3 linked regions of the Rattus norvegicus genome follow. The protein of the gene in region 1 interacts with the protein of each later gene in a pairwise test. Links are inferred from orthologs where the notes say so. Each region holds a gene or a part of one and is shown in the gene's direction. Other genes may lie near its edges. The genes, in order: Pdlim7, Zmynd11 and Gem.

Evidence for each region.
Region 2: the proteins of Pdlim7 (region 1) and Zmynd11 interact in a two-hybrid assay, tested with the Homo sapiens proteins (2 studies listed by BioGRID). The link is inferred for Rattus norvegicus from reciprocal best matches to the Homo sapiens genes PDLIM7 and ZMYND11.
Region 3: the proteins of Pdlim7 (region 1) and Gem interact in binary tests that used the Homo sapiens proteins (3 or more experiments, as listed by UniProt). The two-hybrid records come from large-scale screens. The link is inferred for Rattus norvegicus from reciprocal best matches to the Homo sapiens genes PDLIM7 and GEM.

The regions. Positions count from the first base shown.
Region 1 is NC_086035.1:9,136,305-9,139,953, forward strand, and holds part of Pdlim7 (PDZ and LIM domain protein 7), read left to right. Parts: exon of another isoform or gene 1-252; intron 253-663; coding exon 664-725; intron 726-870; coding exon 871-1,105; intron 1,106-2,145; coding exon 2,146-2,326; coding exon of another isoform or gene 2,327-2,388; intron 2,389-2,454; coding exon of another isoform or gene 2,455-2,571; exon of another isoform or gene 2,572-3,649. UniProt on the Homo sapiens protein: May function as a scaffold on which the coordinated assembly of proteins can occur. May play a role as an adapter that, via its PDZ domain, localizes LIM-binding proteins to actin filaments of both skeletal muscle and nonmuscle tissues.
Region 2 is NC_086035.1:65,268,971-65,272,637, forward strand, and holds the start of Zmynd11 (zinc finger MYND domain-containing protein 11), read left to right. Parts: upstream 1-750; 5' UTR 751-769; coding exon 770-885; intron 886-3,667. UniProt on the Homo sapiens protein: Chromatin reader that specifically recognizes and binds histone H3.3 trimethylated at 'Lys-36' (H3.3K36me3) and regulates RNA polymerase II elongation. Does not bind other histone H3 subtypes (H3.1 or H3.2).
Region 3 is NC_086023.1:30,010,195-30,013,943, forward strand, and holds the start of Gem (GTP-binding protein GEM), read left to right. Parts: upstream 1-1,446; 5' UTR 1,447-1,583; intron 1,584-2,899; 5' UTR 2,900-2,908; coding exon 2,909-3,236; intron 3,237-3,749. UniProt on the Homo sapiens protein: Could be a regulatory protein, possibly participating in receptor-mediated signal transduction at the plasma membrane. Has guanine nucleotide-binding activity but undetectable intrinsic GTPase activity.

The DNA.
Region 1 (3,649 bases):
GCCCTGCTCAGCCTGCTGCCCTCTGCTTTCTTCTCTCTTACTCCCTCCCAGGGCACCCCACGGGTGCCTCCAGCTCTCACCTACTGCTTTCACAGCCCTGGCCTGAACCTCCTGCTGGCCTGGTCCCGGCAGCCCGTCTGGCACAGGGCCTGGCTTCGTCTGACACTGCCTTCCTTCTTGGCCCTGTGGTACTGCTGTCTGCCAGGTCTGCGCTGCCTTGAGCGTGGGAATAAACATTCTCAGTCCTGCTTCCTTTGCCTCTGTCTCCCATCTTTTGGGTCTGGTTATGTTTTGGGTTTGGGATGCTAAATGGTTTAGACTTGGTATGGGTCCTGCAGCCTGCTTCTTGGTGGGAGGGAGTACCTAACCAAGATGCAGGGTGGCTCTGCCTTACCCATGGTTCTCCTGGATAAGGAGACCCAAGGCTTGCCCTAGGAGAAGGAGCACACTCTGCTTCCACACTCTACACAGCAGCCCAGATAGCTGTACCCTTCATAGGGGGGAGCACCCCTTCCTACCTCTAGCCCAGAGGGACCTAGAATACATCCCAGCAGTTCTTGATGCATTTAAGCATCACCCAAGGGGGCAGCACAGCTGAACTTAGGGGGTGGGACCATGCCCAAAGCCTCAGCCAGGCAGGGCCTTGAATGGCAGATCTTACAGCCAGGTGCCCAGGACAGAAGCCCCAGCCCCAGCCTCAACCATACCCCAGGAATCCTGGCCTGGTAAGACACTGGGCTTGGGGCTGAAGAAGGGTGGGTAGCCTCCATGGACATAGGGGTGGTGGGCTTTTAAGGCTACCCTGGGTTCTACCCTCTGCCCTTTGGGCTTCCTGAGTACCCCTCTGGATCTACTTTCTTTGGCTGTCAGGCCCCACCACCCCCAGCCCCACCAGCCGCCCACCCTGGGCCGTAGATCCTGCATTTGCTGAGCGCTATGCCCCAGACAAAACCAGCACAGTGCTGACCCGACACAGCCAGCCAGCCACACCTACGCCTCTGCAGAACCGCACCTCCATAGTTCAGGCTGCAGCTGGAGGGGGCACAGGAGGAGGCAGCAACAATGGCAAGACGCCTGTATGCCACCAGTGCCACAAGATCATCCGGTGAGTATTCCTTTCTAATGCTGATCTTTCCTGCCCTGTAACCTGACCCTGTCGTGTCTCATGTACCTATCCTACCTTTGCTGCTGCTCTAAGAGAGTTAAGGATTTGGTCTGGATCCTCAGATCTTTTTAAATTTTCGTGGTTTTGTATGTGGGTGTTTCAGTTGGATGTGTGTCTGTGCACCACTTGCATGCCTGGTGCCCACAGACACTGAGCAGGGGGTTGGATTCCCCTGGAATCAGATGGCATTTAGATGGCTGTGAGCCTTCGTGTGGGTGCTGGGAATCAAACCTGAGTCCTGCAGAAGAGCAGCCAGTGCTCTCAGCTGCTGAACCATCTCTGCAGCCCCCAATCCTCAGGTTCTTAATCTTGCACTTCCCACCACGCTCACACCCGGCTGTAGCAGGGGAAGCATGAAGGTGCTAGCAGCACCCTGAAGCAGTGTCTGTCGCTTCGCCGGCTCTCTGAATAAAGAAGGGCCTCCCTCTCTGCTGCTTCCTCCTCGGGCTTGCTCTCTGCCGAGCCTCTGCTCTCAGAACCGATAGGCCACACGTACCTCCCTCTGTACACTGCTTACTGGAACCCAGCCAAGTCACACAGCCCCCTCAGAGTCAGATTCCAGAGCCTTCCTAGTTGTTGGTCCTGTCCCTGGCCTGCTTGTTCTGCCCTCAGCTCTCAGGCAGAGAGGATTTGTAAAGCATCCCCTCCTTCTGACACCCCTGTTTAATCTCAGGCCTGCAGATGTCTGCTTAGGCCAAATGGAACAGGCAGTCAGGACTGGGCATTCATCAGGGTCTCATCATTTCTTCATCTTCACACTGGGCAGTAGTCCCCCAGGGGTGTCTTGGTAGACTCAAGCCATCAGCTTCCACCCAAACCAAGGTGCCTCTGTCATCAAGAGCGAGTATACGTTTGCCCCATCTTGCTTACATGAACAAGCAGCTCCTGTGAGAACAAGGGTCTTCTGAAGGGAGGAAACACCGCTCCTGTCTTCCTCCTGGAGCCCCTACCTCACTTGCATGCATTCCCTCTCCCTGCAGCGGCCGATACCTGGTAGCACTGGGCCACGCGTACCATCCTGAGGAATTTGTGTGCAGCCAGTGTGGGAAGGTCCTGGAAGAGGGTGGCTTCTTCGAGGAGAAGGGAGCTATCTTTTGCCCCTCCTGCTATGATGTGCGCTATGCACCCAGCTGTGCCAAATGCAAGAAGAAGATCACTGGAGTGAGTGGGGCTGGCAGGTGGGCAGGAGATGCAGGTGGGCAGGAGATGCAGGTGGGCAAGAGGTACAGGTGGGCAGGAGATGCAGGTGGGCAAGAGGGTGGAAGAGAGAGGTGAGCAGGTGGCAGGAGATGCAGGTGGGCAGGAGATGCAGGTGGGCAGGAGATGCAGGTGGGCAGGAGATGCAGGTGGGCAGGAGATGCAGGTGGGCAGAGGGGCAGAGGGCAAGGGAGAAAGTGAAATGTTAGCAGTGTTGAGCACTGTTGAGCAGCTGTTAGATGTGCAGTTCTCAGCAGGAATCCCCAGACTCCTAAACAGCCTAACAGCAGAGAGTGTAGCTCAGTGGTAGAGCACCTGTGTCACACGCACAAGGCCCTAGTTCTGTTTCTGGCAGCCTCATCAGGCACAGTGGCGTTGACTTCTAATCCCAGCACTCAGAAAGCAGAGGCAAGAGGATCATGACCGACAGCCCAGCCTAGGCTACGTAGTGAGACTGCCTAAAAAAAGCGGAAACATTCTATCAATGGCTTCACTTTATATCAGGCAGGATACTTTTCTTTTTTTTCAGTTCTTCTAGATGGGGTTTCTCTGTGTAGCCCTGGCTGTCCTGAAACTCGCTCTGTAGACCAGGCTGGCCTTGAACTCACAGAGATCCTCCTGCCTCTGCCCTCTAAGTCCCGGGATTAAAGGTGTACACCATTCCCGCCCCGCCAGCCAGGATATCTTAAAAGATCAGCTACTTGTTTATATTTTTATTTATTTTACCTGTATCAACTGTTTGGCCTGCACATGTGTATGTGCACCACATTCACACGACTGGTACTCTCAGAGGTCACAGGACACTGTCCTCTGGAATCACAGATGGCTGTGACTTACCGCGCGAGTGCTAGAAATGAAGCTCAGGTCCTCTTAACAACTGAGCCGCCATCTTCCCAGCCTAAAATACCAAACTCTTATTCAAAAAAAAAGCTTAAGCACAGGAAAGGAGCCAGCTTCAGGGACTGGAGGTGCTGACTCCAGATGCCTCTGAGCCTTGGCTCCGTGATCTCCTGAGTTTGCCTGTTTTTACCTTTTGTCGGTTTGGCCTTCCTTCAGTCACAGCATGCTTTCCTCTGGAAACCGGCAAGAGCAGTGCCACTCTGCCTGTGAGGTTCCATTTCCCCCGGTTAGCTCCATAGGAGAGAAAACACCTCAGTCCCACTCGACACCCAGCCGTCCCAGCACTGATGCTCATTGGCTTGGCTTGAGTCACGTAATCATTCCTGAAAGTTCCATGTGTCTGATTGGATGAGGCTGGGGTATGCCCTCCCCGGTAGCTGTCAGGAA
Region 2 (3,667 bases), about 56 Mb from region 1:
AATGTGATTATTAGTTCTGAAATGAACACCTATTCTGGCAGTTGGGTCATTACTGATAATTTGTGATCTGGTATCCTAGCTCTTGGCCTTTCATATTTTACCTCAGAACAACTTGGATTCTCTATTCATTGTTTGTTTCTTGCTATGCAGTTCTGACTGGCATGGAACTCACTTTAGATCAGGTTGATTTTGAATTTGTGCTAATTCTTGTGCTTCCACCTCCTAAGTGCTTGGACTGCAAGTGTGCTGCACCATGCACCATCACCATGTCTGGCTATTGCTTGTTTTTTTTTATACATTGGTTTCATATGTATATAAAACCGAATTCTCTAAAGCTATGATCATAAAAACCTGAAATACCAAACAATTATGACCTATAAATTCCATTGTGCACTGCTTGATTTCACACAGTGTAATGCTGAAGTCTGGTGTGGTTTAGAATAAACATTAAATGCCTTTATTTATCTATTGATTGATTGATTGACATTGGAAAGAGGTAAACTTCTCCTAGCTTTTTAAGTGCCTTTTAAAGTGATTTGGATTTTAGATTATTCTTTATAGAGGTAACCAAGTGAATGCTTGCTTTTATTAGGTAGAAGTGCAACTTGAAAGGTAGAAAATGGAAAGCCACAACACCACATTTCACTTAAGAATGACCAGCGTCAGGCAGTGCTGTGACTGTGGCTCCTGTGTTGGAAATTCCCTCGGTAATCCATGTTTTCTGCCTTATGTTTTTATATATTGCTACAGCTAAAGAAGTAAACAGGTCATGGCACGTTTAACAAAAAGACGACAGGCGGACACAAAAGCTATCCAGCATCTTTGGGCAGCCATTGAAATTATCAGGAATCAGAAGCAGATTGCCAACATTGATCGTATTACAAAGTAAGTAAATTTAAACAAAAGCACCACTGTAAAGTCCCCAAATGCCTTATCTTCTGTGCAGTTCATACAAGGAACTAAAGTGACGGTTGCCTTGCAGAAGACTACAGAACAGGAACAATAGCAGAAACACATATAGACAATTTGTATTTAGAAGCCTTGTAAATGAATGTTAGCTAAGTAAAGATCAGTATAGTCTGCTTATAGTAGATTTTCAATTATACATTTTTTTGCCCTAAGAAAATTTTATTTAAAAGGATTATTAAGACATTTGCTTTATTGTAGTGAAGCTGTCTAAACAAAAGCTTTTGTTCATGGCTTATCTCAATGGAGATGAACAGGCTTCATATAGTAAATAATATTTTGAGTACTTTATAACTAGAATAAATGAGATTGAACACACATTCAGTTAAAAAAGAAAACTCCCCTTTCCTTTTCTCCTTAGTTTCAGTGCTATTTGTCTTAGTAGACAAAGATTCAGTATAGCAAAACATCTTTTTGCTTATTTTGTATTATGAAGGCAGTTAGGAGTTTGATTCTCTTTTAATTCTCTGAATGCTCTTTTAAAAGTAAAGCTGATGTAACATTTTAACAGCTTATGTGATTTTTTTTTGTTAATTTGAATAGAATCTTTTAATTCTCATCCTGCCTTATATTTGTTAGATGGTATCTAAAAATTAAAAGTAAGAGATTTATAATAGCTGACTTACACCGTGCTTTGGAACTGTTATTAATAGGTAATGGAGTTGAACCCCATGCATTCTTAACATTGTCCCCATATTTGAAGATGAAGAGGCTTCCTGAAGTCAACTGCAGCCCTACCTCCTTTGGGCTAAAGAAAGAAAACGATGCCCCCAAATGTGGAAAAGATGACTAAATAAATAGTACATTGCTTTAATTATTACTTAATACATATTTTATTTTTAAAAAGCAAGCACTTTGAGAGCTGGTAACTAAGTACAGAATAGCGGGTGATACTAATACAGATAGTTTTCAAAAACCGCCGGCTGGGGATGTAACATGGATCAGTGGTAAACGCATATTTCACAGGTGAGACCCTAGGCTCAATTCCCTTCCCTGGGTTAAAAATAAATCGCAAACAATAAAGATACTAAGTATGTCCTTGAGATTTGTAAAAGCCATAGCTGAAATTTTTATAGCAGAACATTGAAATTAAAAAATAAGATCCTGTAATTTGTATCAAAAATTTAAGGCATTCTTAAGCGTGCACATTTGAACAGTTTCAGTTGCTCACATGGTTACCTCTCTTTTCCTTTGTGGTGTTTCTCGGGCATCTCAGGGCACCTACTAAGCACTCCAGGAGTCTCATCAGGAGTGCTGCTGTTAGGCTGGGTGACCTGCTGGTGTAGGAGGGAAAGGGCTAACGCTTTTAGTAATCGTGCATGCATCTGCTGGCTACTTAACACATACGAGTGCATGTTTGGCATAGGTGAAACTAGTGAACACCACAGAGACAGTCATTGGGACCATACATATCTCCTTTGAATCATGGATCATAATGAGATTTGACTTTTCCTCTTTTTTCATCAGTATAACTTCGAATGGTAACCCAAGCCATATTTACTTTTTGCTTAAGCTCTATAATTCTTAAATACAGATAAATTTGTTGACCAGCAGGTGGTCATGAATTATAAGTCTCCTCTTAAAAATCCATGAAGCAGAGGACTGCCTAGGAAATGCCCCACACAGTGCCTTGCCTCTTGGCTGATGCCACTTCCCTGGATGTCCCACTGCGTGAGGCTGGCTAGGAAGCAGCACTGGTGGTGGCAGCAAGTAGGTCTGCTCTGCGATCTGGGATTCCTGCTCTGCACTGTTAGAAGGTCAGGAATCAAGATGCTCCTCTTCCTTCATGTCAGAACACAAGGTATCTTTTAAATTTAAAATTACCTTACTTTACCCAAGCCCCCCAGGCAAGTTCCTGTTAAGACCTTGTTTGCTATTTCTGTGACTGGTGAGCAGCCCATTGTTAAAAATTAAGTAAAAGACATGCATTAAGAGTTCTGGCCTTTGACATTACTGGTGTATAGCCTGGTATTTCCTTAAGTATCTTGTCTAGTCTATGTAATGCTGTGGTTCTGCCTGTATCTTGTTTTCGTTATTTTAATCTATAAATTCCACAGCCATCTTCATTCTGATTCTGTCACTGTGCTCTGATGGCTCAAGTGTGACCCCACACTTGAATTCTTTGAATTTCATGGGACTGTGGCTGTGGGCAGGCTGTATAGATGGACTGTGCTCTACTGTAGGGACACATGTTAATGAAGACATTTCTACTTCTGAGATATTTACAGCCATTCATGCTAGATCTGAGTAGTAGTTTGTTTCATCTCTGTGCTTCTAGCTAGAGTGTTTTCCTGGGGATAAGCTTCTCTGTACCTGCCATGTGGTTGCATGCATAGTTCACAGCAGAAAAGGATGTTCCCGTTACCATGTTTAAAAATGGCATTCTTACTTGATGACTGCGCCCTTCTAAGTACCATTGGAATTCACACACCAACTATGTTTGTCATGCTTCCATCCATTTCATGTACCATATACTTTTACACATAAGTGCACACGTGCTATGGAATTCACACATCAACTATGTTTGTCATGCTTCCATCCACTTCATGTATCATGTACTTTTACACATACGTGCACACGTGCTATGGAATTCACACACCAACTATGTTTGACATGCTTCCATCCATTTCATGTATCATGTACTTCTGTGCACACATGCACACACACTATTGCTTATTTTTTATTTAGTATGCTGGATTTT
Region 3 (3,749 bases), on another chromosome or scaffold:
TTCCTCTTTTTCCATGTCCCTTCCCATCCAGTTAACAATGAGGAGAAACGTTTCCGGTGAGGAGCAGTATCCAAGCATTATGGTTCCAAGAATATACTTTCAGTTTGGCTGTCTCCTTCCTGAGTGGCCGTCATCCCTCTGGGACTCCACCTTTGAGACTAAGGCGCTCTAAATCTTTCTTATTCGGTGGATTCTACCTTTGCCAACTTGGTTCCTGACAGGCCTCAGAAGCTGGTCACTTGGATAATTCCCAGATCGCATAGATGCCTTCGGGAGAACTGGGACACCATTGTAACCACAGAGCAGCCCAGCCACTCCAACAGACAGTGGTGCTGGCTGTTTCTTGAGGAGTCACCGGCCAACCCACAGCAGACGCTGGCTGGAGAAGCAGATGGATTTGTTGGAAAAGCTAGCATGGAGTCTAAACACAGCATGTGGGAAATGCCCATGTCCTGGGGACGCTCATGTCCTGGGGAAGAGGCCACTTAGCAGTGCAGTTTAAAAGGTACTTAAACTAGGCTCTGAATGTTGCCTCTGCCTCCACCCTGACCTTAGGCAGGTTCCCTTGTAGCGAGACTTGTTCTCAGTCCACAACTGTAGTAAGGAGCAAGGTTCTCTGGGCCCACCAGAACCACAGGTCTTTGCAAGTCTTTGCAAAGGGTTGTAGCAATAGGACTCTCTGAGGGAATTGAGCCTGCTTCTCCCCATGGCTGGGAAGCCCTGGCTCCAGGCCACATCCAGCCATGCTAAGCAGCTCGGTTCTGAGATGCACCGATCGGGGTGTGATTAAATTTCTGATTGGCATTGTGGCCAGACCAGGAGGACAGCAGTGTTTAGCGCAAGCTGCTTGGAGCCAAACTGCCCTTTTTCAAGGTCTTCCCCACTCTTTTCTCTGGCCCGTTCTCTTTGGATCTCTGCAGGAAAAGGGAAACTGTGTGTCCCCAATCCAGAGAGAAGGTGACAGGAAGCAGGAAGGGCCTGGTTGCTTTTCAGAGCATGCTGTAAAGGTGGCCTGTCCACTCAGGTGGCTGTAGCCCCATCCTGGAGGCCGGAGTCCCGCTCACTCTGATGGGTCTGTTTTCTTGGCACAGCTGGACTCGCGACTCAGGCCTGCTTCTTTCCCCATCCTTTATTCAGACAGCTCACAAGTGCTCTGCTGGGAAGGGCGATTAAGATGCACTAAGTGTATTTTTCCAGTGTCCACCTGATAAAAAGAAAATAAAACAAAATCAAGGAGGCCAACGTTTGAACTGTCTTTTTTTCCCTCACACTCTCCTCAAGGGGCTAAGGGAGTCACATGACTACGAGTAAATGATTTAGCCAAGTGGCTGCAACTCCGAGTTTGCTGCAGAGCCGCCCCCTCCCGGCGGGAGCGCTGACGTCACGGAAAAGCCCCGTCGCGGGGCTGCCGGGCGCGCTATAAACGGCGGCGGGCCGCGGAGGCTTCAGGAGGCGGCACTGCCAGCGGACATCACACAGCCTTAGACTGCGGAACCCGCATCGGCAGGCGGCAAGCATTGCAGCAGGCAGCAGGCATTGTCCGGACCGACGGCAAACGCCCACCCAGCGCCCAGTACAGCCAAGTAAGGGGACATGGATGAGGGGCAGTCCCAGTGGGACCCTCCGCGGGAAGGGGCGTTCCTGGTCACTGAACTTTTTAAGTTGGGAAGGGAGACCCTAGACCATGAAGTCTGTGCCAGGGGTTCTCCCATAGGAGAAAGAAGTTCAGGTGCAAAGGATGCGCTTCTGATGGGGGTTCCTTAATTCAATTCCGGAGGAGTGTCACCTTACAGATTAGGTGGCCAGGCGGCAGACTTCAAGGTCTCAACACAACTCTGTCAACCCAGGGATTGTTTTTAAGATTTAAAAAGAAACCGGCTTGTTCTGTCTAGTGGTATAGGTGTCATGTGTGAGCGGAGTGCTATCCCTGCACTCACGCGCGGGGAGCTTGTTGAGTTAACCATGGAGTGGATGCTGCTGTGTTATCTCGGGCAGTCTTGGCAAAACGGACTGCCTGTCAGCAGGGGAGGCGGTCTTGCAAGGAGAAAGTTGTAGGAAGTTGAGTGGCTTTTCCCTGAATCTCTGACCTTCTGATTTACTTCAAAAAGGTGGAATTCTGAGCTAATTAAATCTTGGACTGGACAAGATTCCTTAAGAATGAAGCACTTTTTGTACAAGTTTGATGTATCTGAACGTGAGCAGGTCCTTCCCCTGTCAGAAGAACCAGGCTCAGGGCTGGTTATGCTAAACAGTATCTGTGGGTGAGAGAGCAGAGCTGAGGCATAAACCTCAAACTGTCCCACTCCCCAAATAACGGTCTCTTCAGGCAGCTGGAGAACATCAGGGCAACTTTACTAAACATGGAAGTTCCCCCAAAGCGCCTGTCCAGTCCAGCCAGGGGAGTGATGTCATTGCCACGTGTTTCCCACTGAGGCACAAAAGACTGCAGGACACTGGGCAGTGAAGAGCCCTGTTTAGACAAGAACAGCTAACCTGGCCAGCTGGTCCCTAGCAGTACTGACTTGTTGCTGATGGTAAAGCCATTTCTGGAGGCAATGGGTTCCTTCCAGATTCCTCTGTGCCAACTTCCAGTGGGATTTTCCTTCAAGGATGGAGGAAGCTTTTGAGCAATGGATGGTGTTACTGGTACTACAAATGACAGCCTGAGTGAGAAGCTAGTCACCGTGTGTGTGTGTGTGTGTGTGTGTGTGTGTGTGCGCACTCGCGCTGTTGTTGTTGTTGAAGACTTTGCTTGCCAGGCTTAGGAAGAGTTTCATGGTTGTTCCTTACGTTAAGAATTCATACCTATCCAGTGAAGAACCCCTGATGACAGTATTGAGACTCCCTGGGCCTGGCTCATTCTTAACAATGTCGCCATCTTTACTGCTCTGATTCCCAGGATCCCACAATGACTCTGAATAACGTCACCATGCGCCAAGGCACTGTGGGCATGCAGCCACAGCAACGCTGGAGCATCCCTGCTGATGGCAGGCATCTGATGGTCCAGAAGGATCCCCACCCCTGCAACCCCCACAACCACCACTCCACTGCTCCCGATGACCACTGCCGGCGGAGCTGGTCCTCCGAGTCCACAGACTCGGTTATCTCTTCCGAGTCAGGAAACACCTACTACCGAGTGGTGCTTATTGGGGAGCAAGGAGTGGGCAAGTCCACCCTGGCCAACATCTTTGCAGGTGTACATGACAGCATGGACAGCGACTGTGAGGTCTTGGGAGGTAGGTGGCCCAGTTCCCGGTGCTGTTCTGTCTTGTAAGCAGGAAGAGCAAGAGGGAGTGGGTCGTTTCCCTGCAGAATTGGGAGCCAGGCATAATGGTACACATTTGTAATCCCAGCACCGTGAAGGAAGAAGCAGAAGGACTAGGAAGTCAAGGTCATCTTCAGCTACATAGAGAGGTTTGAGGCTAGCCTGGGCTATGTGATTCTGTCTCAAAAAACCAACAAATTAAAACAAAACGTTATCTTCAGAATTAGGGGAGAAACGCATGCCTTCTCAGTACTGAGATGGGAGACAGAAACCTACCTACTGGCACAGAGCCCAGCGCGCGCGCGCGCGCGCGCGCGCACACACACACACACACACACACACACACACACACACACAGAGGAATATGTGTACACAGTGACCCAAGTTATCAAGAGGCTTTCTGAAGGTCAGGTCTGGGAGGTTCCAGAAAGGCTGACTCTGCCCTGGACCAGTTTTGGAGAGTTCATCACCACAGATAATTTTC